Linked DNA regions of Notamacropus eugenii. The protein of the gene in region 2 purifies or fractionates together with the protein of the main gene of each other region. This does not show direct contact. Links are inferred from orthologs where the notes say so. Each region holds a gene or a part of one and is shown on either strand. Other genes may lie near its edges.

The links.
Region 1: the proteins of PPP6C (region 2) and PPP6R3 purify together in Homo sapiens (affinity purification with mass spectrometry; 10 studies listed by BioGRID and IntAct, with this or other methods). This does not show direct contact. The link is inferred for Notamacropus eugenii from reciprocal best matches to the Homo sapiens genes PPP6C and PPP6R3.
Region 3: the proteins of PPP6C (region 2) and TIPRL purify together in Homo sapiens (co-immunoprecipitation; 4 studies listed by BioGRID and IntAct, with this or other methods). This does not show direct contact. The link is inferred for Notamacropus eugenii from reciprocal best matches to the Homo sapiens genes PPP6C and TIPRL.
Region 4: the proteins of PPP6C (region 2) and ARHGEF2 purify together in Homo sapiens (affinity purification with mass spectrometry; 4 studies listed by BioGRID and IntAct, with this or other methods). This does not show direct contact. The link is inferred for Notamacropus eugenii from reciprocal best matches to the Homo sapiens genes PPP6C and ARHGEF2.

Annotation. Positions count from the first base shown.
Region 1 is NC_092873.1:20,815,234-20,823,258, reverse strand, and holds the start of PPP6R3 (serine/threonine-protein phosphatase 6 regulatory subunit 3), read right to left. Parts: upstream 3,059-8,025; 5' UTR 3,052-3,058; coding exon 3,040-3,051; intron 1-3,039.
Region 2 is NC_092872.1:447,465,655-447,472,681, forward strand, and holds the start of PPP6C (serine/threonine-protein phosphatase 6 catalytic subunit), read right to left. Parts: upstream 3,016-7,027; 5' UTR 2,951-3,015; coding exon 2,783-2,950; intron 1-2,782.
Region 3 is NC_092873.1:478,322,412-478,329,643, reverse strand, and holds the start of TIPRL (TIP41-like protein), read left to right. Parts: upstream 1-4,073; 5' UTR 4,074-4,338; coding exon 4,339-4,442; intron 4,443-7,232. UniProt on the Homo sapiens protein: May be a allosteric regulator of serine/threonine-protein phosphatase 2A (PP2A). Isoform 1 inhibits catalytic activity of the PP2A(D) core complex in vitro. The PP2A(C):TIPRL complex does not show phosphatase activity.
Region 4 is NC_092873.1:380,102,185-380,110,102, reverse strand, and holds the start of ARHGEF2 (rho guanine nucleotide exchange factor 2), read left to right. Parts: upstream 1-4,896; 5' UTR 4,897-4,912; coding exon 4,913-4,915; intron 4,916-6,807; coding exon 6,808-7,088; intron 7,089-7,918. UniProt on the Homo sapiens protein: Activates Rho-GTPases by promoting the exchange of GDP for GTP.

The DNA.
Region 1 (8,025 bases), on a different chromosome or scaffold from region 2:
CTATCAGGAGAATAACAAATCATCACCCCATCAAAGCATATTAAGGACAGAATCATCCTTCGCTCCTTGACAGAGACAGCTGTAAGATGGTATGTGTATTAGTCCTTCATTACCGAAGAAGACCATGCCATCAGAGAAATGATGACATGACTCGCACTTGACTTTGTTTTGAGTGAGGGAGGGCTGTGCAGCTCACCAGCCTCACTTCTCCTCCAGAGCCATCTGAATCCAGTGACCGGATATTCATCAGGATGATTGGAGATGACCCAGGATGAGGCAATTGGGGTTAAGTGACTTGCCCAAGGTCACACAAGTAGTGAGTGTCAAGTGTCTGAGGTGAGATTTGAACTCAGGTCCCCCTGACTCCTGCACTGGTGCTCTATCCACTGCACCACCTAGCTGCCTTTGTAAGATGGTAACTATTTCCTAGAATGTGGCTTTGGTAGATAGCACAATCACTCCCAGCTGAAAACATTCTCTCAGAGGTGATGGGACTACAAACCGGGCCCACCTGATACCCATTGCCTTCTCAGCCTTATCTGGTGCTGTCAAAGACAGTTGACCCACAAGGAAGTGTAAGAGAACAAGCCAAAGCCCAAACTTCCAATCCCTGAGATAAAAGGGCCTGCAGAAGTCCCCATCTGGCTACAAGGATGCTTCTTGGGACACTCAGCTGCCACAAGTCCTGCTTGAGCTCACAAAGAACTAAGGCTCTCTGCTTGGAGAAGGAACAGGATGAAGAAAGAAAAGTGGACAGAGAGACAGGTTAAAGAAATGATTGTTTGAAACAGACAAAAAAAAGTAACAGCAACCAGTCTCTAGCTGACAATATAATTCATGTAAAACAAAGGCAGCCATGACATCCTCACTCTCTTTCAAGAGCACCCCCCCCACACACACACACACACACAATAAATTCTTTCCCAAGTTCCTTTATATCAGTAACACACTAATTACTGTTTTGTTCAGGATTATTTTCTAATACCTCTAAATTTGTGAAAGGTTAAAAATCTGAAGAAACCAAGCATTGTCTTTACTATTTTATTTTGGCCTAAAAGACTTAAAAAGAAGGGAGACAGGCAAAGGATGTCAAGGAGGAATCTTAGAGACCAGCAGCTGGTTGCCATGCCCATCCCCCCCAAGGGAGGTGAAAGAAATGATCAAATGTTTCAGCCACCAAGAAATTAGAAGTCTGAAGGGCTCAGGATGTCATTGAGATATCTGTGGCTGAAACAAAGAGGACACACTGGAACAAACTTCTCATTTCTCCCCAGGCAGCTCACCAGGGAAATAACATCTCCATCCCAGAAGGTCTTGGTCCTGGGGCTTGGAGAGTGGGACCCACAAACTCAGCCTCCATTTAAGGGAGGGGTTCAGCGTGCTAACCCTAAATGTGCTGTTCCACTAGCCTTCCCCCAGGTCTTATTGCACCGCTCCCCTAGAGTGTAAACTCCTTAAGGGGAGGAATTTTTTTTTTTTACTTCAATCTGCACTCCCAGCACTGAGCAAAGTGCCTGGAATACAGGAGGCATTTAATAAACATTTATTGACAAGTCCCACAGGAACTCTAGACCTCTAAGACAGTAACAGAAATTTCTTCTAAATTAAAAATATTTTCCTCAACGCTTAGACCACCAGTTCTCCCCAAACTGTTCATCACAAACATCAAACCATGATTTCTCGTGGCTGAGTGCACTAGAAGCAACTGCTACTGAGTCTTCAGTTTTCAGTGATTTTTGTGCCCCACTCAAAGCATTAAACACAAAAGCCAACTGCTGAACTAGGCTAAAAGATCCAATCTGTGGGGCCCACTTATTCAGAATTTTGGCCCCCAACTTAGACCAGTCTCGCAAGTCCTCTGAAGTCTCACTGTGGTGTGGAAATGACTGGGCCTGGAGTCATGAAGACTTGAGGTTCAAATCCAGCCTCAGTTACTTCCTCAACGTGTGAACCTGGACAAGTTTGTTCTGACTCCGGGAGTCTGAATCAGACAACTGCAAAGTGCTTAGCACGGTGCCTGGCTACAGTGACTGCTACAGAAATGTTAGCTCTTCTTTGGTAGGCACAGAGGGCAGGCCCAATGCCAGGATTGAGGGTCTTTCACAGGAGAAGCTAGATGCCAATTCAGGGGCAGGAGAGTGTGGGATTTGGCCACAGCAACCACCATAGAAAGGTCTTAGTAATGCCTTGGTTTTTTTTAATAACTTCATAAAAATATCCATTCTTGATGTCAAGTTACTGACAAACTAGATTTTTAAATCTGACTCTGATGCCTATAGATTAAAATGACACATTCAGGCCACTTTCAATCTTGGAAGGAGTTGCTAAAAAGCTTCGGCTTGAGTTTTCAAATGAACTTTTTCTTTTTACCTAGTAATACTGATCTGTTCCAGAAAAGTTGGCTACAAACCACAATTTGTGATAAAGGAATCACTTTCTCAAAGGGAAATGAATTCTGTAAGGCAGTCTTTAAATGGTCCAAGAATTCTTAATTTTTCACATCAAGATACCAATAATCATTGGTGCTACTTAGAAAGACAGAAGCTATCATCAATGAGTTCCCAGTCCTCAGTTTTAATTTTTACTTCTAAAAATCTGGAGCACAATTAGGAAGGACTCCTCCTAGAAGCAGAAGTTAGAGCAGAAGCTCCTGCCTCTGAGAGCAGAATGCATGCACAGACACACACATGGACGCACAAGCGGACCCACACATGCACGGGCAGACAACACGCCCACAGGAATGCATACAGGCACGCACAGGCACGCATAGGCACATACAACACTGGTATAATCTGAAATGTTAACAATTCTCTAACAACTTGTTTTCATCAAATCAGCCTTTTTACCATCAAATAATAAAGCTGTTAGGGGACTCAATTCCCTGCTGTGAAGGTATTTGTGACAGAAACTCGGCCACCATTAAAACACCTGAAAACGACCAAATTTTCTATTTGTGCACTAAGTGAACAAAGACACATTTCTAAGGCTACTAGCTGATCACTCAATTTAAAAAAAAGATGAAATAATGAAGAAGCATACTACTGCAAACATGTCCCTGAGTTCTTTGAGAAACTCCCTCCTGGGCGAGCTGACATTAGGGTGCCTGTCTCTCGCTCTGTCTCTCTTGGGCTGGGGCCAGGTGCAGAGTTCAGTTTATTCCGGCACTTTTCAACAGGAGCCCAGGTCCCTTCGAATAAGGAAAAATAATGCCATCAAATGTGCTAGAGGAAGCTGTCAGAGTACCGGTGAGCACAATTACTACATTCTACCCAAACACGCAGCAATGGGGAGGGGAAAACCTCTGAAAAGCAGAATCAAAAAACTGAATCTCCCGCCTACTCTAAACACAATCTGTACTTCCTACAACAGAGGAGACGACAATATCCTTTCAAGCATTTGTGTGATATTTGAATAATTTCATAAATGGCTCGATGGAATTCTTCAAATTCCAAATCTTGACATAGTGGGTTTGACAATGAGAATTCCCCTCCAGTGCTCCCAGCTCACATCAGGCCCTGGTGGAAAGGGGACAGTGAATGAGTGCAGTCACGACGCTGGTGATGCTGACAGCTGACGTTTACCTAGGCCCCAGTTTACTCAGTGCCATGCACTAGGCTAAGCACTTTACAATACCTCACTGGATTCTCACAACAGCCCTGGGAGGTAGGTACCAGTGTGAGCCCCATTTTACAGATAAACAAACAAGCAAACAGGGTGAAGTGACTTGCCCAAAGCCATACAGCTAGGGAGTGTCTGAGGCCACATGGGCCTCCTAGCCCAGTGCTCTATGCACTCTGGCACCCCCTAGTGCCTGTACAGGACACAAGCACAGGAAACATGCACAACAGAGGAGCTTGCTGCCAACACAGCCCACACCTCAGGGTGCCTCAGTCAGCACTTTCTTCCCACCAAAGTCCACCCCCAGGCCAAGTCCCAAGCCCAGCACCCTGCTGTACCAGCTGTTCCAACACCGCACAAGCTTTTAGAACAGACCACACCAATAATTAAATTCAAATCCTCTATAGCTCGCCAGTCCCAAAGCCCCTTCCTGTGGCCTACACAGACTGAGTGAGCAGCCACCCTGCCCTGTCCCAGTCACCCAAGATGTCAGGGTTCTGGGTCCCAGTGACACTGCCCGGGCTCTGAGGGAGGAGTTGCTGAGTATCTAGGGTGAAATCAGAAACTCAGACTCTGGACTTCAAGGTCTAAGTAATCTTTGCACTAAGCTGCTATTCAAAGTCTCAGGGAGGGTTTTTCTCAAGTTTTCCCCTCAGTGAGGAAGAACTTCCATCTGAGATGGACAGGTACTATTTCAGCGTAGCCATGTACCCTAATGTGACACCTGGGCTTTCCTACGTCCACTGAGCCTGAGCAATGGAGTCGCCTGCCATGCAGGTCGGCCTGGACAGAAGCCTCGCCAAGGCCCCTGTGTAGGCTGGCATGGTATCAGTACTTCTCCCCAAGATTTGCTTTGTCACTGGATAATCTCCAAAGAGAAACAAAAAACAGAATCATCCTGCCCAAGAAGAATGGGTGAGTTTGCTGCAGAAGTTACCAAAAAGGACCAAAGGAAGGGAGTCTACACATCATGATCTGAAGACCAGAGCTCAGATGTGACTAAACCTCCTGGATTCTGGAGAAAACAGTAAAGAGCATATTGCCTTTGGGAAGAGAATTCAGGAGCCCCAGAGGAACAGACAAAGAGACAGAAAGCAGTCCCTTCAGGGCCTCCCAGCTGCTGGGGGTGGGAGGACTGTTGCCCTCACCTCCCTGCTCCAATGTCTTAAAGCCCGTCCCCTCTCTCCAGGTCTCCACAAAAGAATCATTTTGCCCCCAAAGCCTCAGATCCAAGAGGCCAAACCACCAGAATCTTTTCCTACGCAGATCCCAGGAAATGTGACCAAAGCATCACAATTTCAACAGTGAAGACCCTCCAAGGCCAAATAATCTCTGAGGGCAAGCATAACCCGAGAGCATCTGCAGAGGTCTCTACAGCTCTGTCTATTCCGAAAAGGGGAAATGGAGGTGCCAAAGATTTGGGGCATGCCCTCAAGCAGTGGCCCATAGACAAAGATCTATGAGAAGAAGCAAATGAGCTACAGTTTGTTAAGAGCTCTCTAAATGCTAGCTACTGTTGCTATGCTGTTTTCAACAGGCCTGCCCAGGTTTAGGCTCAGACCATCAGAGCAGACCCTAAACTAAGGCTAATAGTCTTTGAAGGCTGGGAATCATTTTGATAAGGAGAAAGAAAGGGAGGGGAGAGAGTTGATGTCATCAGGATGGCACGTTTCGCAAAGACTCCAGCACATCTGGTGTTTTGACAAACACAGTCCCTGCCTTCATGGAGTTTACCATCCAGCAAAGGAAAAGACAATCCCAGGTAACCAAAGGACACCATGAGCACAGGACAAAGACAGCAGTGATGTGACCAAGTCTGAAGGGAGAGGTTAACGTGCTAAGGGGAAAGTTTCATAGGTAGGGCAGAATTTTATTTGTGTTATAAAGCATAAGTATTGGCATGTGACCCATGACACTATCAAGTACAGCCCCAGCTTCCCAGGGGTCTAGCAATCAAAGGCCAAGGAGGAAAGGGCATCCAGTACTACCAAATGAGAACACAGAGTGAGGAATGAGGAAATGACCATTAGATTTAGTGCTATTGGGAGAAGCAGGGCAGGGAGCCAGGTGACAAAGGCTAAGGAGGAGAGGAAGGTGAAACAAGTTGCAGTGAAGAGTCTTTTCAAGCCTAGAAGAGACCCAGGCAAGCCTGTAAGATGCGGGGAGAAAGGAGGGGGACCATTCATGGGACAAGTGTGCAGGAGATGAAGAGAGGGGTTCAAGGCTTGGCAAGGAGAAGAGCACAGAATGAAAGTGGGGGGCTGGGGGTGAATGACAAAGGGGAAGGATGGGTGAACATCTCTGCTGAAGGGAAGATGAAGAAAGAAGACATGTGGAATGGCTGCCATAGGGAGTGGGAGATGGGAAAAATAAATTAAATAAACCAATAAGGTCAGGGGAAAACAGATGAAATAACCAACACAGAGTGAAGCAAGCAAGCCTGGGGTTCATAGCCCAGGGCCGGGGTTTGGATGACAGACAACTGTCAACAGGATCAGGAGGCAGGGACTAAAAACAGGGTCTGCAAAGGTGTTGTTACAGGGCCCTGGGTGAGAGCAGGGTGAAGATGCGTCCAGCTTGGGCAGGAGAGGGAAGGACCAAGGCCATGCCACGGCCACTGGAGAATGTCTTGTCTGCCCCTCTGGGGGGAATGAGGATTGAGGAAGAGGGAAAGATGACAGGATTGCTTGGAGGCAGCAACCGGGGCTGACAGCGGAGATTTAAGGGAGGCCATCACTGGCATGAGCTTAGAATGCCAGCATATGAGGAGGGCAAGAGTGGGGACGAAGAGAGGCCGAGACCTGGAGGCCAACAGACGTCTGTGACGGAGGCGATGCTACCGAAGAAGGAGAGCATGCTCAATAGGAACAGCAAAGGAGAAGGAAGAGCAAGGAAAACAGCTATTCCTCAGCCTGGTCAGGGACAAGAGAAGGAACACAGAGTGTCAGAGAACACACTAAAGAAGACAGCACTTTCCAAAAGAGACAAGGGCCTCATAGCACCAGATGATGAAAAGGTCTAAGATGAGGGGAGTTTGTGAAGGGAACAGACATGAAGAGGGAAATGGACAGCATTGTTACAAGGTTTTTACCTCTGCCAAAAATGACTCTGAATCAGAGCAACACAGGGAACAAGGGTCAAGGGTCACAGAATGAAAGAAGAGGCTGTGTCCTGGGGCCCTTCCTAGGATGGGGGGTGGAGGGTGGGGAGGCACATGAAGCCAGCTCTCATCTCCCCAACTCAAGGGGCTAGAAGCACTAGCCCTGAAGGTCCCTGGGATCTCTGATAGGCTGCCTCAGTCTCCTTTGGTGTCAGATCTCCTGTGGATCTCCTCTGTTGCCCCCAGCATCAGAATGGGACAATCGTAAGACAGAAGAGGTAGAACGACCTCCAGGCTGAACAGTACCCAAATGGAAACCCAAGAAAGATGAATCTGGGACAATCAGCAAGCACCCAGCTTCCTCAGGCCTGCCTGCACAGGCAGCCCTCCCCGGGAGCAGACACACTGGGGAAAAGATCAGACGGCAGGAGACGGCAAGAAGCAAAGAAAGGATGGGAGAAGGTCTAGGCATGAGCCTAGTTGATTGAAGACAACTCTCTAGAACATGTCCTTGACAAAGGAAATGGTGAGGTGAGAACGAAAAGCCAACATGGCTTCAGGAGGAAAAGGCATGAGAGACTCATCTCATTTGGTTTGGGGTTTTTTTTTGGACAATTACCATACTGATGGCTGAGGAAATACCGTAGAGACAGACAGTCAGCCTCAATGGAGGCAGAGTACCCAGAGTGTCATAGGCCATGTGACAACTGCAGAGCTGGATGGGGCCGGCCTGGCCCCAAAGAGCTTAACTTCAACTCAGAATGTCACGAGTGAAGCGAGCCCCAGGGATCCATGCTTGGTCAGAGGGCAGGATCCACACAAAGTCCCACTCAGACAGGCCACAACACAGACTTCAAATCAAGTTCAAAGGAAAGGAAGAGGCTTCCACTGGGATGTTAAAAAAAAGGCAGAAGCATCTATAAGATCTGTGCCATCATTAAGCACTTGCACTAAGGGGCTGTGCTAAGTAAAAAACAAGCCCAAGTTCAAGGTTGGGGAGGGAAGGTGGGGAGGTGGCCCTCCCGCAGGCAGAAAGCAGGGCCCAAAGGCACACAAGCCACCCGAGAAGGCCCATGCAGAGTGGCAGCCAGGCCTGGGGCAGGGCTATCGCTCACAGATGGATACATGGGACAGAAGGTATTAGGCCTCAATCACGGTGGGTCCTAGAGGCCTGGGCAGCATTTCATGGCTAACAGGATCCAGAGAGGAGAGGAAGAAATCATGAACAACTCCAAGACTTGCAACCTGGGTAACCAGAAGTTAAACATCATTCAGGGCAGGGGGAGAGGTGGGAAAATATGATTTTG
Region 2 (7,027 bases):
AGTTTAGAATCTAAGAGAAGGATAGAACATGATAACAGATACAATGATAAATAATAATTCTTTATCAATTTAAAGTTTGTGAAGCACTTTACAATTGTTATCTCATTTTACTTTTACAACAACCCTTGGTTGGTGCTATTATTATCCTTATTTTATAGATGATGAATCTGAGACAGAAAATGACTTGCCTGGGTTCACAAAGTAAGTGTCTGGGGCTAGATTTGCACACAAAGTGTGCAACTACACTAACTACAGGTCAAATACTCTAACCACTGCACCGCCTAGCTGTCTCTATTACATATATACAACTACAACTATAATACAAAACAACCAATAATTAACCTAAGTGCATAAGGGAGGGGAAGAAAGGAGGGAACATTTATTAAGCTCCTACCATGTATCAGGCACTATACTAAGTGCTTTATAATTTCTCATTTGATCCCCATTACCCTGTAAGGTAGGTTCTATTATCATCCCATTGTACAGATGAGGGAATTCAGGCAGGCAGAGGTTAAGTGATTTGTCAAGGTCACAAAACTATTAAGGACCTCTGAAGCTGATCTGAATTCAGATCTTTGAACTCCAAGCCCAGAGAGTAAGGAAGTATAAACAAGGTCTCATAGCTGATATACAGCAGAAGTTAGACTCAGATCCAAGTCCTCTAACTTTAAATCAATGCTTTTTCCACTGTACTGGGGAAAAAATAAGAAATCAATTTGGGGTTTATTGAGTTTGAAGTGCCAGTGAAAGGTCCTGTATAGACTCATGTAGAAGGACTCATGTATATCCAGAACTCAGGAGAAGCCAGGAGTGGAACAAGATTTGGGTGTCATCTGTATTACAGTAATGGGTGAAGGTGTGGAAATGAGATTGCCAAGAGACAAGAATCAAGGATAAAATCTTAAGACACTGAGATGAAGAAACAGAGAAATTAGAAAAGTAATAACACTAGAAATGGAAGTCAGAAGGCCTCAGTTGCCATCACAACTCTATCACTAGTTACATGTCTACAGACAAATCACTTCACTTTTCTGGTGCACACTAGGATAGTATTTATATAATCGGCTTCATAAGAGTGTTATGAGGAAAATGTTTCATAAGTTGCAAAGTACTACCTATGCAAATGTGCACAACTGTGATTACTGAAACAATCTTTTGACTTCTCATTTGTTTCTAGACATCTTGTTTAAAAATAAGTTGCCCATAAATTTCTTCCAAACAAAATATAATAGCTTATACTAATTGTTGCACTTAAGTGTAAATTTCACGAACTGAGCAGACTTACAAAGCAAAAGAAGCAAGACTCCTCTTTCTTATAAGAACAGAATTTATACATTTTACCTTGATAAATTCCTTTAATCTCTCAAAAAGGGAAAGAAATCTGTCTACAGGTTAACCAGTTAGCAAACAGCTGATCAAAGTTTACTAAGTAAACCAATACTCTGGCACTAGTCCCCACCTGTAAGCACAAAAACTAAGCACTACACATAGAAACCACTTAGAAAAAAACCTCCAATATTCCAGAGATTTAAATTCCTTCATTCTCAAATTACTAAAACATGGCAGTATATCAGGAACAACTTGGGGGAGGGGAGAAGATTAAACTTTAAAAACAGCTAAAAGAGGCACCAGTCAATCAATAAACATCTAATAAGCACCTACTATGTACCAGGAACTATACTAGGAACTCAGACACTGGAGATACAAATATAAAAAATGAAACAATCTGTACCGTCAAGGATCTTACATTCTAACAAAAGAGCTTATTTTACCACACCTTTACACAAGTATAACAAGCAAGTAAGTTTGTCCTGTTATGTCTTATAGGCAACGTCAATTTGAGGCATGGGAGAGAAATAAGGAAATATGGTTTATTTCACTTTCCTGAATTAAATTACAATGTCTATCTGCTATCATATTTTAACAATAACCTAAATATTGTACACTCAAACTCTGCAACAAAGTAGAAAACTTTTTTTCCCTGCAAGTATCGTTAAGTCTAAAATGGGGCTATCATTAGCCACTCAATCAAAACAAAGCAAGTTGCTACAATCTGAAGCAGAGAGATAAACGCTTGATCTTAACAGTCCCGAATCTTCAAGGATCAGAAAATGGCTATTCCCCCTTTAAGGAGAGAGCAACAACAGTAGAATCACAAAAACTCTTGGTCAGAAAGGACCTCAAAAATCACCTAGTTATACTGTAACTAAACATAAATTCCCTCTAAATCCTCCTGAATAAATGAGCTTTATTACCGTTTGCTTGACAAAATCCAGCACCTGGACACTCGCAACTTATTCAGGGAGCAGACTCCATTATAAACCTGTTCTATTTTTTTAGGGAAGAGGGAACAGGGGTTGAACCTTTGACTTGGTGTACAGAAATCCCAGAAGAGGAAACTCCCTCTACCAATTTAAGTTGGCACCTTCTCTGCAATTCACTGTCTTAAACAGCCGCCTGAGCCCTAAGATGTTAAGTGACTTACCCAAGGCCACAAGCACTGTGCATGTCAAAGACTCTTTTAAGACTTAAACCCCCGATCTTCTCGGCCCGAACCCCCACGTCTCTGCCCCCTTTTCTAATTTTCAGGAAATCTGAAAAATACGCCACTTTGAAAACCTGTACCCACTTGTTCCTACTTCTGGTCCGTGGAGTCAGGTAGAACAAGTCTAATCCCTCTTCTCCAGGGGACAGGGGACGGAACCTTCAGTACAAACAGCTATCAAAACCCCAGTCTCTAAAAACTAGAAGATCTTCAGAAGTTATCTGAACCCACTCATACCTGAGCAGCAATACCTTCTACAGCTTCCCCAAGAAGTTGGGCCAACAAGTCTCTATTGGAAGACCTCCAGAGAAGGGGAGGTCTGAGGTGGCCCATTCCACTTTTGGTCAGCTGTGGTCTGGCAGGAAGTTTTTCCTTACATCGAGGCGCAATCGCTGCAACTTCCATCTACTGCTCCTAAGTCTGCTCTCGGGGGCCAAGCGGAGCAAGCTCGATACCTCTCGCACATGACAACCCTTCAAACACTTCAACTGTAACTTTCCCCTTAAATGACAGAATCAGAGCATCTCAGAACTGGAAGGGGCTCCAAGAATCACCCCGCAGAACCCCTTCTGGAGCAGGCACGTCCCCTGCCACATCGCCGATGGGGGACCACACCGAGAGAGGCACCCCCAGGTCTCAGCTGGGAACCGCCAGGCGAGCGAGCTTCAAGATCCGACCTCAGGCCACTGCCTACGCCCCCTTGCCCCCGTCCCCACCCTCACCCCGTGCCAAGCTCTGCCGCTGACTTCGGGTGTGCCCACCCCTCTCTGCACCTCCGTTTCCCCATCTGTTAAAATAACGGAGAAGCTGGACCAGACGATGTCTCAGGGCCCCTCTAGCTCTGACTTTCTGTGGCTACTCCCCCCTTCTCTGCAGCTCGGCTCCAGAGCCTGGTGGGGAAGGGGTGGAGGGAAGGGAAGAGGCACAGAAGCCGCCGGGAGGCAGGGAGGTGGCGCTGCCGGCGCCCCCGCTCCCCGGGGCTCCCGGAGCTGACAGGGGCGGGGGCCGGGACGGAAAGAAGGAGGGAAGAAGGGCGGGAGGACTCTCAGCTGCACCACTCCCGGAAGGCGGGGGACTCCGGAGTCAGCGCCCCGCGGCCCCACCGGCACGGCCCAGAAGCCCGGCCCTTACCTTCAGGTCGTTCTCCGGCAGATACTTGCAGAGCCGCGCGATCTCCACATACTTGTCCAAGTCCAGGGGCGCCATTTTAGGAATAACAACCCGCAGTGGCGGCGGCGGCGGAGAAGGCCGAAGCCGGAACTCTGTTCAACGTCACTTCCTGTAGACGCGCAGCGTCTCTGCGTCAAGGCGTGAAAGTTTGCCCTTCCGCTTCTTCTTTCTGCCAGCCCCTACAGCCCTACTTCTGAATGGCTCAAGACGGAGAGTCGCGGGAGTTACACGACAGAGACCTGTGCGTCTCTGGAAACATACCAGGACTCGCTAAGCCGCCTGGGATTTGTAGTTTCCCACATCTAGCAGCGCTTCTTATACCTCTGGTTTATGCACATAAACGCGCTGAGAGAATTGCACATACACCTACATGCAGCAGGCAAAGGCCGCCTTGTCTCGTGCAGGGGATCGATGCTGAATTGTGACGTGGGAGAACCTTCTCTGGACAGCCAAGCCATGGAGCCCTCCCCCTTGCCCCTCCCCGCCCTGCGTGATTCTCTGTCCCTCGCCCCCCTTTTCCTCGAGCCCCCCAACTCACAGCCGAGTTCATACCCTGGCCCCTTCCTACTTTTCCAGGCTTCCTCCGCGTTATTTTCCACGATCCAGTTACCACGGCTTCCTTTCTGTTCCTCCCACCAGACACTCCATCTCCCGATTCAGAACATTTTCGGTAGCGGTTCTCCTGGTCGGGAATGCTCCCCCTCCTCACCTCCACCTCCTGCTTTCCCTGGCTTCCTTCAAGTCTCAGCACAGATTCCACCTTCTGCAAGAAGCCTTTCCTGCTCCCCTTTATTGCTAGTGCTTTCGCTTAGAGATGACATGCAGTTTATCCTGTCTGTATCTTGTCTGTACGCAGTTGTTTGCAGGTTGTCTCCCCGCTAGACTGAGCTTCTAGAGAGCAGGGGTTATTTTTTGTCTTTCTTTGTATCTCCAGCGCTTAGCAAATGCCTGGCACATAGTAGGAACTTGTGGGCTGACCGGCTGATCTCCAGGTCCTGGGGAGGGGAATCCTGTCCGCGTCATAGGCCTGGGGGTGCACATAGGCGCGCCGGGTGTCCTTCCCGGCTGCACTAAGCAAGACGACAGCCAAGATACGGGAGGAGACGGACTGACTGAGGACCGGGATCCCAATCCAGGCAAACCAGTAAGTGGTTTCACAGAAAGAGTCCTAGGAGACATGAGACCTGGATCTCAGCCCCGTCTCTGGCCCCGTGCTCTTTATGGGACCGTGGACAAATCACTTCTCTCTGGGCCTCCGTTGTTCTCATCTTTAAAATGAGGGGTTTACCCCATATTATCTTCAAGTGCCCTCCCAGTTCCGACATTCTACCCATTCTGCCCAGCCTGCCAGTTAACGTCCCTTCTCTGCGTCTCAGTTTTTGCCTCTTTAAAATGAGTCAATTGTACTAGATGCTCCCTAAAATCTCCTTAATCTCTAAGTACGCAGACCGAGTACTCTGGATTCTCTGTGTATGGCTAACCCTCACCGGAAGGATCTGGACTACTCTTGGACAGAAGAGATGGTTCTAGGATTCTGTGATTTTTTTTTAAGAGAAATATAATAATAGTTGACATTTCTATGCCAATTGACAATTATATTTAAGGCTTTTAAAGCTTTGCATTTATTATCTCATTTGCTCTTTAAAACAGTCCTGTGAAATAGGGATTAACACTATTATTAAAATTTGTGGATCATCTAAAAATTGCATAATGTTTACCACCCCTTGAATCCTTTTTTGCTACTTTGCCAAAATCACTTTTGAAGTGGATAGGGACCACAAAGGACTGTGGCCTTTAGGATCTTTTGATCAGTCATTAGATTTTCCCACTATTTACTGACTCTTCATGACCCCACTTGAGGTTTGCTTGGCAAAGATACTGGAGTGGTTTGCCATTTTCTTCTCTTACAGATGAGGAAACTGAGTCAAACAGGGTTAAGTGACTTATCCAGTGTGGCACAGCTTAGTAAGTGTCTGAAGCCAGATTTGAACTCAGGAAGATGAGTCTTCCTAACTCCAGGCCCAGCATTCTATCCACTGTACCACCTAACTGCCACCACCTAGGGGCAGCTAGGTGGTGCAGTGGATAGAGCACCAGTGCAGGAGTCAGGAGGACCTAAGTCAAATCTCACCTCAGACACTTGACACTCACTAACTGTGTGACTTGGGCAAGTCATTTAACCCCAGTTGTCTCATCCTGGGTCATCTCCAGTCATCCTGATGAATATGCAGTCACTGGATTCAGATGGCTCTGGAGGAGAAGTGAAGCTGGTGACCTGCACAGCCTTCCCTCACTCAAAAACAAAGTCAAGTGCAAGTCATGTCATGGAACACACACATTAGATTTGGAATCAGAAGATCTGAATTCATATCCTGTTACCTCCTACATTTGTAACCTTGAGCAAATCTCCTTCATTCTGGGCCTCACCTTTAAAATGAAAGCCTCAGACTTCCAGCTTTAAATGCTCTGATTACTAAAGATAAAGGTGTCTGTAACAGACTCTGAACTTCTCAGGGGAAAAAATGATTCTAGTTTTGTGATCTTAGGTAGCATGGTGCTGGCCTGGGCTACACAGGTTCAAAGTCTAGCCCTAGCAATGACTCATTTGATCACTGGCGAGATGCTCAACCTCTCTCTCTCTTACCTTCTCCCCCTTCATCATCCTCTTCCTCCCTCCCTCCTTCTCTCTCTCCCTCCTCACTCCCCTCTCCCCTTTTCCCCCCCTCTCTCCCTCCTTCCCTCCTTCTCTCTCTCTCTCTCTCTCTCTCTCTCTTTCTCTCTCAGCATCAGCTTCTTCAACTTAATGTGAAGATAATACATACTTCTTCATAGAGTTGTTTCAAAGAAAGAGCTTTCTTTGTAAATATTCCTCGTGAATAGAGATCATTTCATTTATTATATTTGCGTTCCCAGCACCTAGCACAGTACCTGGTACATAGTAGGCACTAAATAAGTACTTGTTTATTGATTGATTGATTCAATCTTAAAGTACTATAAAAATGGAAATTTCATTATTATGAAGTCTTTTAACTTTTCTGACATTCAAGGAAACTATGTAACAATATTCCCAAAAAGCCCACTAAATATAAGGCCTGTATTTGGAGCTAGAGAAGAGTCAAAGTTTAGATGATTATAGAATTCAAAAATCAGAAGGCACCACAGAAGCCATTCACCCATATCTAAAGAGATATATCAATAAATCAATCAACAAATATTTATTAAATACCTACTGAATTCTAAACACAGTTCCAGATACAATGTTGAGTACTGGGGTTGCAAGAACAAAAAAGAAACAATCTCTCACTTTAAAGT
Region 3 (7,232 bases), on a different chromosome or scaffold from region 2:
AGAAACAGGAGGTACTCTAGAGTCTCAATGACATCAGCCTGGAGAAGTTTGGTGCAGAGAACACTAGAGGGCGGTGCCTCCTTGGACTGGTGAAGTGGAACATTGGGTTACTGTAATATACCTGTTACAGAACATATTTGTGATTTCCCCTCCTTTTAAAAACAACAACAACAATAAACAAACTTTCTTTTGATGTATTGTGGCCAGCTTGCAAGTGGGAATTGGTGTCAATGACCAATCTTCAATGGAGAGATTCTTCAGGCGGGAAACTGATTCAAGAAGAATGTGGGACCTCCTCAAATAAGTAGATCCAGTTCTTTGACTAGAAGAAGGCCTTTGCCAGGACAGAGTGGCAGACTCATCTTCCTGAGTTCAAATCTGGCCTCAGACACTTACTAGTTGTGTGACTTTGCAAATCACTTAACCCTGTTTGCCTCAGTTTCTTCTTCTGTAAAATGACCTGGAGAAGGAAATAGCAAACCACTCCAGTATCTTTGCCAAGAAAACCCAAAATGAGATCATCAAGAGTTTAACATGATTGAAAACAACTGAATAAAATCAAGCCAATACATCCATGTGGGTATCCTTCCCATAAAGATCATAACTTATCCATGCCTGCCTACCTTGTATGACCTCTGTCCCCATCATCCCATAAATTCATATGTTTTTAATTTTTTCACTAGAGCTGCTAAGCATGCCAAAAGGTTCTGAGGTATTGTTGGACATAAGTCATTATCCTCTTCTTGAGTGATATGATTTCTTCTGAAAATGTAACAACTCCAGGCTTACCCAGCTCATAACCTAGCCACTCATCCACCTGCCCTGTATTACATATTAGCCATAATTCAGGAGATTCCCTCTCTTCTGCCCCCACTTTATCTTTTCCACCCCTTGCTCCCCCACTCAGATAGACCTCATTAAGAGCTTACCATATGGTAGGCAACTCCTAAATTTTCACCAAATTTCAATTTTACATGCTTCATGTTTTTAAACCCACAAGACATTTCCACAATCCAATCAAGAATTCTATATTTTATAGAAATATAAATTACTCCAAGTTCAATGCCTTAGGCATTCTTGGTTGGATTGCAATTATAGTGAACAGAGCCTCGATCTTTGGAGGAAGTTTGTATTGCTGGGTACAAGTATGTTCAAATCCTGTACCTTCCAGTTCTAGGCTATAATGAATGACCTTTGATTCTGTGAAACCCCACCATCAATCCCCACACACCCTAGTCAGTAAACACTGCCTAATTAGTCGGGGATTCCTTATCTGGGCTTACCACTACATTATGTATGATATAAAACAAATGAACCTCACCTAACTCTCATTCACTTGGAGCTATCCTACCAGATAGAATGAGGACGAGGAAAAGAATATATGAGTAGATATAAGAGCAGTAACGTTCAACATTGAAAGCTTAAGGAGCTTTTACAATTTTTTTAGCTTAGATAAAAGACAGTTTGGGAGGGGCATGATTTTTGTCTTCAAACATTTGAATATTTGTAATATGAGAAAAGAGATTTAGTCTGTGTTGCTTATGGAATTTTAAGGCAGATTGTGGTGCAACATAAGAATGAACAGTCTAACAGTTAAACCTGTCTAACAATATAATAGGCTCTGTAAGAGATGAACTGAACTTATGTAATATCTGTAACACCAGTGATAATCATTTAATATCATTTTGAATTCTCAATAAGGGTCGGAGCCTGGACTAATCAACCAGAAGAAGAACCTGGACCTAACAGCTTCTTTGTTCTCTGAGTAAACTCAGAGAATACTTCTTCCTATGTCAACAAGGCCAGATGGGGCTGACTTAAGAACAGCCATTTTTTCTGTTTATGACCATTAACGATGAGACCCTTAACCTGAGATGCTATCTTGGATAACGGGACTTTTTCTTAGTATCTTATGGACCCATACTATGTTATATAGCATGTCAATGGTAAAGAAAATGCAGATATCCTGGGTTGTAATTTCAATGGACACTTTGTCAACTCTTTTATCTTATTGTGTTTACCACCTATTCAATTAAGATATCACCTAGCCTGTTTGCCTCTTTAACCAAATTTTCAAGTCAGCCAGAAAGACTGTACATCAATTAAGGCCATTCCTTTGAAAGAATTTATGACTTGCCAAAATATAAAGGAAATGAGAATGTGGTGATGGGGGGTTGAAATGTGAAGTGTAATCAGAGGTGGAGTTTTAAGTATCATGGGATAGACTGGGAACCCAGCTACTGCCAACCAATGGGAGCAAGGGAGAGAAATGGGAATTGGGGTGAGGTATAAATATTGTATATTTGCCTTAAACAAGTGTGCCTATGTTTAGATTACCTGCTCTTGAAAGGACAAAATAAAATGCCTTCCCGGGTTTATCAGTTACTGTCTTATTCTTTTGCAAGCAACATGCCTCACAGCTCTGTTAATGGATAAGGAGTTCATTATTACTGAAGGAGCTAAAAAAAGAGTTTGGGTGACTAGGTCATCTTTCAGGAATAGTGTTAAAAGGAATGCATGTGTTTGCATGGGAATTTGGGCCAGATATCTAAACTACCTTTGAGTATTCCAATATTCCATGGTTCTGTAGCCACATAGATTTGCTGCGTACTTGTGCAGCCTAATTATCTGTACCACAACCTCTACCTCTCATTGCTACTGGCTCATTTATCTGTTAATTGTCTTTCTGGGTTCCCAAGAAAAGTAGGTTGTGGATATCTCAAAGATGACTATTATTACAGTTTTTTTTTTTTTAAATAATTGGTTTGCTTCCCATCTCACTCTGAGCTGAGGAAAATCTCTCTCTTTTGAGTTGGCTCCCCTCCTTCAATTCCAAAGTATGCACTTAATGACTTGGACTAAAAATCAATGTAAATGACTATCCACTTTAAAAGCAGTTCCAACTAGCATATGATTCAAATAAACATTCCTTCGATTAATAGGCTATAATATTGCAATGGGAGAACTGAATCTTTTCCCCTTTACCTATACTCTCCCTCCTAACTGTACAAGGGGAAATGGGAGGATAAGTAGTTGGACTGATAGCCTGGGACTCCTCCCAGGCAATGCTTCAGAGGGGTAAAGAGAAAAGTGCTTCGGACTAGGTTCCAGTGGTCTGTCCAATTCACCCAAGTTTGTTGAACCAACCATCTTTTCCAACTTTGGTCCACCCTCAGCCACCCCATGAGGTGTCAACTTCACTTCTTTACCCTGCTTTTTATGATGGGCAATGCTCTTTCCTGGCCATTCCCTGACGTTTCAGTGGAAGAGGAGGGGTGGACCGGCTCTGCCCACAGACCCTCTTTGGTATTTCCTCCTAGAGTTCCTCTGCATTCTGGTCTTGTGACTTCTGGGCATAAGAAAATTCTAAATCCCCCAGGAACTTAGTAAACTGGATAAAATCCATGTGTTTTTGTGTCTAAGCAACACCCTTCGCCCCACCGACCCTCCACGGCAGTATTCCTAGGGGGAAGGCTCGAGGCCACCTCTCCCTATGGAGGATGCTACAGGCTTACTTATGGGAGAATCAGGATGACGTAATCGCGTGTGAAAGTTTTGTTACTTTGTTTCATTAGGTTAACCACGTGCTTAAGAGGAACCTCTCTGGATTGTCCGCATAATCAGAGCCGTGGGCATCTTCCAAAAAGACGAAGTCAGCTTCAGCCTCGCCTGGCCTTCGCTCCTTCCCTCCGGGCATCCAGGGAGATGCCAGGCTGTAGAGGGGCAGTCCTTGGGGGCTTCTACCCCTCTGGACCCTGACAAAGGGACGGAGCCTGATTTCCATCCTGGGCCTGGAGAACAAACGGACCTCGGAACGTTCCTCTGGGAAGTTAAGGGGAAGCTTCCGTAGATCACATTTTATAGGAAACAAACAAACAAACAAAAAAAGGAAAGTGATGGGTAGGGAAATTGCACCAATGAAAACCCAGCACCTCAGGCTACTTCTTGAGCCCCGCCCCCCGCCTGCGGAAAGGCTGGCGATGACATCATCCCATGATGCCACCAAGTCCGCGCCCGCTCCCCGGGTCCAGGCCACGCCTCTCGACTCCCCCAGCCCCGCCCCTCCTTCCTTTTCCTAGGACTTCCGGCGCGTCGCAGCCTCGTCGCGCAGGCAACCTGCTCCCGGAAGCGGAAGGAGAAGGCGGGGGCAGGCGGGCCGGCAGGAAGGCGGGAGGAGCAAGGGGCCCAGGCAGTGGGCTGGGCTGGGCCGGGCCGGGGAGCGGAGCGGGGCGGGGCGGGGCCGGGGATGGTAACGGCTCGGGGGAGGAGGGGGAGGTGGGGGCGGGGGAGAAGGGAGGCCGCCGCGGCTCGCGCTGGTTCCGCGCCACCACCGTGGCCATGATGATCCACGGCTTCCAGAGCAGTCGCCGGGACTTCTCCTTCGGGCCGTGGAAGCTGACGGCGGCCAAGACGCACATCATGAAGTCGGCCGATGTGGAGAAGTGAGGTTTGGGGAGGGCGGGGGAGGAGAGGTCGAGGCCGGGCGGCCGGGCGCGGGCGCGGGCGCGGGCATGAGCAGCACTGGGGAGGGGCGGTCGCTCTCGGGGCCGCTCCCCGCCCCCGCGGGACCTCGAGGCCTCCCTCGGGCGGCTGCAGAACTGCCGGCGGGGCCCTGCCCTGGACGCTCCGAGTGCGCGTGCGCGGCCGCGGTTTGACGGACTCTGGGCCGCGCTCCTGCCCCCGCCCCCTCCCGCTGCCCCCTGGCCCTGGAGTCTGGGGCGGGCTAAGTCCGCGTGGGTCCGGGAAGGAGCGCCGGACCTCTGTAAGTGCAGGGGCTTGGGTCACATGTCGTCTGGACTGTAGACCAGAGGCCAGACGGCAAAGCTCGGCATCTTCCAGCTCTGCATCCCCAATCCACAGAAAACCCGGATTCTTGTCCAGCCCCTGAGCCTGAGTAGCCTTGCTACATGGGGCCAGTTATTTAGGACTGTAGATTAGGAGGTGCTCATTTGCATTGGGGAGAAGGAGTTTTCTCTGGAAGCTCCCTCCCCCAGGAGCCCCAAACACCACCACAAACACTAACCAAAACCAAACTTTATTCTTGGGTAGTATTTCTAGGCTGGTGGTTTCAGGCTACTGTTTTAGACTATAAATGAGGAGTTGTCTGTGTACATTGGTAGGGAGAGTTCTCCACAGTGAAAGAAAGCGCAGGCTCTGACCCAGAACAAAAGGATGCATAAAAAAATACCAACTCAAAACAGACATTTTTCGTAGAGAGCATCTCTTACGTTGTCATTATCCACATGCTGCTTTTGACGCTAATCATTCAGTCTGTCAGTGTTACTGTTGGGAATGTAAACTAGGAGTTGAGTTGTTGGAGTAAGTTTTCACACTGGGAGTTCCATGTACTAACAAAATTAACCTGCTCCCCCTTCCAAAAATGCCCCAGAACAACCAACACAAATTTTATTCCTAGGCAGTGATTTCTGCATACTTGTACAATTGGCAATGTTGAGAATACATCTCACCAGACATGAAATGGGAGGTGGTACCCTTATTTCTAGGTAATTATAAGTAGCCAGCCCTCCAACTGGTTTCTTAAAACAAATCTCAGCGTATTCTGAAAGTGAAGTGGACTTTCTTCCTCACATTTTCCCTTAGAATATTTCATTTTTCTCCCGTCTTGACTTCTGCCTGCTTGGCTCAAGTGGATATCAATTGAGGAAATGATGGTAGGTGGGAACGTAAGGGATAACAGATAACTCACATCTTCTGGTGATATGTTGAAGATGTAAAAAGATCTGTATCATATAATAGGGCTCTTCTCTGGAGGATCTGTTGAAGACAATGGATAAGAATTGCATAGGATGAAAAGCCTGAGTGCATTTTGGTTCATACCATGAAGGTTCATACCATATCCATGGAATTACAGATTTATTGAAGTATTGAAATACACAACAGATTCCCCTGCACATGGAGTAGGGTGTTGTTTTTTTTTTTTATTTCTAGCACCCATCACAGTGTCTTGTAATATAATAGAGGCTTTATTAAATGGTAATTGAATTGCGTTTCCTTGCCCTCCTAAATACTGAGGCAGCTTTTGACAGGTTATAGTTTGGTATTGATTAGATATGTTTGGGATAAGATTTAGAGAAATTGTAAGAAGGACAATTTTGAATTTTGTGACATATAAAAAGTCTAAGGGACATATAAAAGGGTCAGTTGCACTCTTAGTTGCCAAAGACCTCTCATAGAACCCACTCAATGCTTACATGCCCCTAGAAGAAGAGTTAGGTGCTGCTAAGGCTGGAAACCAACTCTTGATTGGTTTAATGAATTAATACTATAATAAGAGTCAGTTAATTGGAACGAGGGGCTGGCGGATGTCACTCAATCTTGGACAGATCTCTTATCTGGACTACCTCCACCTAGGGCAATCAGACTTGACTGACTAAAACACTGTGGGCCAGATTTTACTGGATTAGAATCTCTTCACCTTTTGATCAGATCTGAGTTTTCCCAGTGGATGTGTCTGTTCAAGACTTCATCTCTTTATCAGTCCTGCCCTTTAAAACTGATTGAATGACCTACAGGGAATGATGAAATAGATTGGTTATTAATATGAGAGAGAAATATTCATTTCTCTCAATTGTAATAGTCAGGGACTCTTGGACAGTTTTTATATAGGAATATATCCTTGGGTACAGTAGCAGTTCAGTGACTTCAGCCATCACGAATGCAACATAGGACTCTTTTTAGAGACATCCTCTGAGAATCCAAAATAGTTATCATAGAGCTTATTCTCTAAAGTGGTTCTCAAACCCTTTTATACTCTTATTAAAGATTATTGAGGACCTTCCTCCAGTAGCTTTTGTTTATGTGAGTTGATGCTATTGATACTTGCCATAATAGTTACTGAGCTAACATTGTATGCCAGGCACTGTGCTAAGCTCTGGGGATATAACAAAAGGTCTACAAAACAAAACAAAAACAGTTCCTGCTCCCAAAGAACTCACACTGTAATCAGGTGGACAACACGCAAACAGCTATTTTCAATTAAGATATATACAGAATAAATTGGGTCTCACATGAAGGGCTAAGAGAGACTTTTGCAGAAGGTGGGGCTTTAGCTGAGAATTGAAGGAAGCAGGGAAGCTAGATAGTGGAGATAAGGAAGGAGAGGAGAGCATTCCATGTTTGAGGGACAGTCGATGAAAATGCTTGGAATGATGAGATATGAAATTTCCTGTCTCAAGGAACAGCAAGGAGTCCATTGGTTCTTGAGTTCATGT
Region 4 (7,918 bases), on a different chromosome or scaffold from region 2:
GTTCCCTCCCCCCAGAAAAACTTGTCCAAAATGTGCCTGGGGTGGGGCTGGGGGAGTGAGTCAGCCCCTTGGAGAGGTTGTTATCAGGGAGGGGAGCTAGCTCAACATCCTCCCTACAGTATCCACAACAAGCTATGTGACCATGCACTAGGTCAATCTTAATTCCTGTTGGCTGGAACTAGTGCCCTTCCCAGATACAGCAGCCCCAGCTACTGCTCCTCCCTGTGTTTTTCCTTTAAATGATGAAAGCACAATCTTTCCCCTCCACTAGCCATAATGTCTCTCTTAAAAGGACAGGTAGGGCCAGAGGCATGTGTCTCTACCCTATTGAAGTCTTGCCTGTGGTTGAGCTGTGAGATACTGAAGTGGCTCCCTTCCCTAAAGTCACCACTTCTAATCCCACCCTTTTTAGCCTCTCCTTTATAAGCTCCACCTCTTCCTCTGGGAGAGTGAGTCCCTTGGACAATCTCCTATCCGATCACCGACCCAGGTAAACTTTAATTGGCTTTATGTAGTCTGCCCCAGGCAGGCTCCTCTGCCCAGAAAGTGCCCAGGGCAGTGGACTCCAGAGTTCCCAGTGTAGTGGTGGAATTCAAGGGGTTAAGGGAGTCAGGCACAGTACTGTCTGGTGTTTATAAGTGCAGATAGTAAGGGCAGGAGGAGTTGAGTAGGCACTTAGTTTGGACTCAAGCAAGTCTCCCACCTCTCTGCCCTTGTTCTTTGGACCATGAGAGACCCTCTTACTGTGCTCCAGAGAAAGATTCCCAGTTGAGGTACCGAATTGGACAGAAACCTGCTTAGGCCACCTGGAGCGAGAATTTTCTCTGGAAAGAGTCTCATCTGCAGGGGGCTGGAGTAGGTTCCCCAACAACGGTGAGTTTGTTCCTCCCTTTCCTCCAACCCAAGCTCCTGTCTAAAAACAGGAGTAACCAGAAAAGTGGTACTCTTTAGGAAGCCTCTCTAGCCCCCTGATAAATCACTAAACCCTTTGTCTCCTCATTGACTTTCACCCAGCTCTAACATTCGATTGTGTCTGTGGGAGTATGTTTGGGATGTATGTTTTCTTGTTGGAGCTCCTCATTCAGCCATCAAGCCATTTTCCCCTTCCCCCCAAGCAAATACTGTCTCTCCTCCCAGGGTAGAAGTGGGGAAGGCAACAGAGACCCTAGCCTTCCAGCTCCCATGTTATTATATCCCCATGACTTGGGGACCCAAGCCCTATTTCTAGTTGTTCTCCAGAAATTTCTTGATGGGGGTGGTGGAAATTCTGTTCTAGGATAGCCATTCCCTGGCCAAAGTCTCTTCCTTCGTGTGTGTCCTACTGAACCTCTGGTTGTCCTACCTCTTTACCACTGTATTTGGAATCAATGCCAAGAAACCAGCCTTAAATGAAAGAGGATTGGCATTCTCCCCTTTCCTCCCAACTTAATATGCTCTTCTCTGAATACCACCATGCCTACCTCTTAGTTCCTCGTAAGGGAATTGCTCTCTCAGGGTAAAGGTAGCTCAGGGGTGGGGGGAATAGTAATGGTTATGATAAGAAAACTGATAGCCATAGTGCTTAACAGTTTATATTGTCTCACTTGAGCCTCACAGTATCCTGCTGAGGTAGGTACTATAATGACTATTCCTCATTTTATATATGAGGAAACAGGCTTAGATTAAGTGATTTACCCCCTGGTCTCTCTGTCCAAAATGGGATTTGAATGCAACAGGTTTTCCTGATCCCAAGCCCAGCACCTTTTTACCCTGTCAAACTGCTGCTTGTGGTGAAGGGGAAGAAGCTGAGATGTCTTGCTTTCTGATCCGTTATACGCTATAGCAAGAGAATGTGTGGTTAGTCTTAGGAGGTGAAGGGATGCTGTGGTCCCTTCCCAACAGAACTGAATTGCTGGAGATCATTGCTGGAGAGCTGGTGGCTAACTCATCAGTCTGGCCCTAGAGTATACAAGTGAGTGGCTGGCTGGAGGCAAGCCTGGAAACTGGTATGGGTCAGTGGCAGGGGTACTTGGTATATCCCCAGCCTTGCTACCTTCCAGAGTTAGTGCCTGTGTCCCATCTCATTAACTTTGGGGGTCAGGAGGTGGCTGGGTTTCTGGATTTAGGGATCCTAGTCCCATCATTCTCTCTTCTTCCTGTCTCAGAATTGGGTCTGCATTTGTTTTCAGTGTTTGACTGAGAGGTTGGGGCTAAGTACTTAATTAGGTGCCAGGATACCCAGGGTAGAGATCGAAGATTTGTCAGAAATTCTTCTCAGGTCCTCAGAGGTGGGGTTGTGACTTGAACATACAAAGCCCAGCATTCTAATAACCTCAGGATTCAAAATTGCCAGAGTGAGGAGGAAATATTAGAGCCCTGGATTCCTGGGGTCAGCCCTAGGCTAGGAGAGTCACCAGGTGCTATAGGAGGTAGAGATAATACAGAATCTACTGGGACCTTTCTCACTAAGTGTCTTAGAAGAGACTCTAACTTAAGCATGAATGCTTTAGTCCTCACACTAGGACTTGAATTAATGATTTACCCAAGAAGAGGAGAAGTGTAGTTAAATTTTGAACCATCAAAGGACTGTCTGTGACCCTGGCTCCCTAGAGCTATAAGGCCTGTAAAGAAGCCATTAAACCATAACATCCAGCCTCTCCTTCTTCTGAAGTGGGGAGGGGATGGGGGGGAAAGAGGGGGAGAAGAGATAGGTATCTTTAGGAGGTAGGTGTCTTTTTTTTAAAGTTACTTTGAAGAGACAGTTAAGAACCTAAAACTCAGTTCCTAGGAGCCTCCTAGGCCTGAGAAACGATCAAAGTTGCCTCCCAGTTGTAAAATGCTTGGTTATTAGTTTGACGCAATCATCTTTCTACTCTCCTGTGTTTCCCTCTCTTTTCCAACCCTTCTATGTACCTACCCCCATCTCTCTCTGTCTCTGTCTCTGTCTCTGTCTCTCTCTCACACACACACACACACACACACACACACACACACACCACACACACACACACCCCAGCATTTACTGGCAGCAAACACTTCTGGAACACAGCTCCACCACCCAGCTTTTCAGGGAAACTGATGGAATGGACAGAAAAATTTTTAAAAATGTTTCAGTTTGGGGAGTGGAGGGACTGTCTCTACCTGATTTCTTTTAGGACATGCTTGGTTTCTTTAGGGGATTATCTCCTAATTTAGTATGAGATAGTTCTTCATTTTTCATTCCAGCTATATAACTGGGGGCTGGAAGCTGGTCATGCTTTGGACCTACACACTCTCATTTACATTCATTACCCTCTCAACTGCCCAAACCTCTCCCTACACACTAGGTAAGTGGGAATGCCAGCCTCTGGACCCAGTAACACCTTCTCCAAGCCAGACTGACAGACTGGTAGAGTGTTTCTGTGGGTAGGCATTTTGTCTTCTGCTCAGGGTGCCCAGGGCAGCCTAGTGCAGTGGTTAGAATGCTGGACAGGAAGTGCTATCAGGAAGTCCTGGGTCCAAATCCAGCCTCAGGCACTTACCAGCTGTGTAACCCTAATTAAGTCATTTCTCAGAGTCTTAGTTTCCTCTTCTCTAAAATGAGGATAATAATAGCCCCTACCTCACAGAGATAATGTATGTAAAACCCTAGGAAAGAATCATAATATAAACGATTATTTTCTTGTTCCTTCCATGGTCTGGGTCTCTTCCTTTTATTGGGTAACTGTCCCACCGTCTTGCGTTAATTTCAGTCTGTTTGTCTTCTGTTCTTTTCTCTGTGAAGATGGTTCGCTATCATGTAATTCAGGTAATAGCTGAAGATACTCAGACCCCCATTCCTGGCTCTCTCTGCCTTGGACAGGCTCCTCAGGACTCCCTTTCTCCAACTGCAACATGGACTGACACTTTCTCCCTGCTTCCTCACTTCTCTTCTGCCCCTCCAAAAAGCTTGTATCTCAGGTAACCTCTTTGAATACCATGGTCAATTTAGAGACAAGGTTCCCCCTCCTCTCAACCTGAATTCAGTTCAGTGAATGCGTCTCTCCCCTCTGCATTCTTTTCTTCTTAACTGTTCTATCACTCAACATTGAGTACTTTGCTCATTGCTCCAAGAATGTTGACCAAGTGACTAGTTCAGTTGTTAACTGCAGCAGAGGGGATGCAGGTTAGACACCCAAAAGGCTTCCTTGAAGTTAGAGATGGTTCTTGAAAGGGTGCTTGAAAATGGAGATGCATGTTGACCCTTCAGGGCAAGAGAACCATCCTACCTTGAAGGGGATGAATGAACTGACCTACTCTCTTCCTGAGGTTCTTCCCCACCCCACCCCACCCCCAAAAGTGTTGAACAACTCAGATCTATTTCGGAACCTCCTATCTATGCTCAGTGGAAACAGCACTGTGACATGATATGATCTCATTCTGAAGCTAAATAAAGCCATTGTGTGAGACCCAGCTCTGGCTACTACTCCCTTGTTCCATTTCCTAAGCTCAGGAGGCCTGTGGGGAGAGAGGGCTTGAGGGAGAGTCTTTGGAAGGAATAAAGATCATGGAACAGAAAAGGAAATGCAGCAAGGAGGCCAGGGTTTGGGAAAGGAATTACCAAGAGCTGGTACTGTTGGGGAGGCAGCCAAACCCCAGTCCCTTGAAGAGTAGAGTGAGGCTTCTATGTGACAGCCCAGGGACAAAAGAAAGGATTTTCTGGAAGTGTAAGAAGAGACTTTCACATCACAGTGCTTGAGAAATGCCTCACTGGCCTTCAGTTTCTTCCTCTGGAAAATGATGCTATTGGTCAATGTGATCTCTAAGATTCATTCCGACTCTAAATCCTGTCTCTGTGTCATCAGAGGGAGGAAGAACTTCTGGGGATTCCATCTTCAGAAAGACTAGAATGTGAGCAGAGGGAATCCCACCACTGGTAGAGAGAATTGGAAAGCCTTCCCCTGGATGGACCAGCATGGTACTGGCACCAGGGAAGTGGGCACTTTGGGCTTTGGAAGGAAGAGGGAGGAACTCCGTGATATCAGAATCAGGGGCTGTGTTTGTAGGGCTAGGGGATCAGGTGATTTGTCTCCAGGAAGGGAGAGAAAACAGGAAAAGACTTCGGTTCATTTCCTTCTGCTTGCCATGCCTCTTCCTATTTTAATTCTAGATATGGAGCTATGGGGTGGAGGGGAGAAAAAGCAGGTGAGAGAGATAGGGGTGGTTTGTTGTTGTTCAGTTATGTCCAATTCTTCATGACCCCATTTGGGTTTGGGAGTTTATTTTGGCAGAGATACTGGAGTGGTTTGCCATTACCTTCTCCAGCTCATTTTACAGATGAGGAAACTGAGGCAAACAGGGCTAAGTGACTTGCTCAGGGTCACGTAGCTAGTAGTGTCTGAGGTCAGATTTGAATTCCAGTCTTCCTGACTCCTGCTCCAGCACTTTATCTACTTCACCACCTAGCTGCGTGGAGATAGGGGTGGAGACTCACTACTTATTTCCATGTGCATCTAGAGACAATAAAGCTCCTATTCTCTCCTCATTTGTGCCCCCTCCAGTCCCTCTCTAGTTCCTGTCCCTTTTCCCTCAGCCACAGTTCCACACAATTTTGTATCTACCTTTCTCTGGAAAGTGCGCAGTTGACAGAGAGTCCTGCTCTGACCCCAGAGCTATTCAACATCTTTCCCACTCCCTTCAGACATACCTATCCTGGCTGCCAACATGATCGGATGCCAGCTTGTACAAATGGCATAGGCCCAGCTATGGAGAAGGAAGAAAGTCTCTTCTGGTGGCTGGCTACACATTTGTCATCTCCTTGGCATAGGAAGGACATGGATAGGCACAATGGCTGCACCTAGTTTCCCTTTCCATCCCTGGGTTCCATTGGTCAGGAACAAAGACCAGCTGCAGAAGTCTAAAAGCCTGAGTCTGCCTTAGGTGGTAAAGGGTCACAAGGTTGTAGATGACTGGCCAACAATCTCTTTTTCTGTAGCTTCTGCATGTAGCCAGGGATAGTGGGCAAACTGGATTGGGAGGGAGGGAAAATAGATGATAGGAAGAACTTTTTGACATTCAGGAGATCCCTGGGGTAACCAATGGACTTGGGAGAAGTTTATGCTCCACCTTCATACCCCTTCCCTTGATGGTCCTGGCAGAGGGAATGACCCTCCTGCCTTTCAACAGATTATAACCACTCCTGAAATCTCACTGGATAGTGAGGTGTAATCCTTAGAGAATTAGTCCCTGGAAACTCAGATGCCTGTATCTCCATCACAGCAAAGGGCTTAAAAATGTGGACTAGGCATTGGTTTGGTGGATTGGTTGGAATTGCTTCATGGATTGGGATTTCATCACCCTCAATGTCAAAAGTCCTTGGAGAGTTCATGGATCTTTGATATAATCTAGCATGAGCACTGTTACCGAAGTGCCTGTCTCTAAGAAGGGCTCATTTGCTACTTCACAACCCATCTCCATGCCAAATCACCTAGAATATACTCCACCCCTTTTGAACAATAGCTCTGGAAACTATTCATATCAACACTACCATTCCTAGAAAGGCCATATCAATTATTTGTCAAAACATACTTGTTTGTATTTATATCTAATAACTAGCATATAGTTATTTTCATTCATTCATTTGAAAGAGGGTGCAGTTGATAAGGTGAGAGAAGTCTGTCTCAGGGGAACAAAAACCAAAGTTGGTTGGTGTAACTGGAAACCCTGGCATTAAAAAAAAGCAAAAATGAAAGATATTTAGGAAGCTAGCCTGGAAGGATGAGAGTTGCCTCTCCTCATCCAAAGTAGGAGGCCCTTGAAGGAGAATACCCAAGCCTACCTTCCCCCAACCTCTATTTGTCTTCTGTCTAGGCCAGCCCATCTGCCACTTCCATGAATGACAAAATCCCAGAGGCCATCCTGGCAAGAGGAGACCCCAAGCCCCAAGGAAGAACTCAGAGATGCCTGTCAGCCGTGGAGCCCAGCGGGCAGTCTCAGGAAGAAGAGGAGGAAGAGGAAGATGGCTTCCAACCAGTGCTCCGCCGAAGAGCAAAAGCCCATCAGGCCCGAAGCTACATTTGTGATCCTTTCAGACGACATAGTTGGGAGCCTGGTAGTGTGTTCCAGGAAGCTGCCAATGATCCACTGGGAGGGTAAGCCCCCAAGGGACCTATCTATTCTGCTTCCCCACCTATCTTTTCAGAATCCTTAGACTTAGGAAAAGATGGAATAGTGAGAAGAACTAAGTTGCTTTAGTACTTTAATCACTTGCATACAGATGCCCTCAGATTTGGGAGATAGGTAGGGCAGGGGAGTCTGAGACCTCTAGTTACCACCTAAGGGACTTAAATGGACAAAACCCAGGTATCTAATTCAGAATCTCTTTTGGACTCTAGGGGTTCCTGCCTATGGTCTTAGAGTAGATCTCTTTTAGTAGCCTAAATTCCTCCAATAATCCTTCTTTCTTGCTTTTTGAAGAATTGGGAAAACTGAGGGAGGGGAGAACAGGATTCCCTTTCTTAGCTACTATTTTCTGTCAGTACTGGGTTCTATCCCTGTCTTTAGCTGCTATTCTCTCCCTTCCTTCCTAAGTGTGACATATATCTTTAATCTTGAATTTTGTAGAATCATGGACAATGCCAGGAGAAACCTTATAGTTTATCTCATCTAACTCCTTTAATTTTTCAGATGAAAAAAACAGGGAAGGAGAGAAGTTCAATTGTTTCGGAGATTTCTAGGGAGAGTTTAGCATAGTACCTCCTACCCCACATTCAAGAATATGCCAACCCACGGATTTCACTCTGAGGCTAGCACAAAAGTAACTTCTCAACAATTTTAAATTTAGTGGACTAAACTTGCATTTTGATAGAATAAATTCTCAGCTTTTTGGGTATTCTAGGAGTTAGGATACTTTGGATATGGGTAAAGGGAACAGTCTACACACCCCCAGAGCTGGGCACAGGGAGACAGATGGAGACATCTC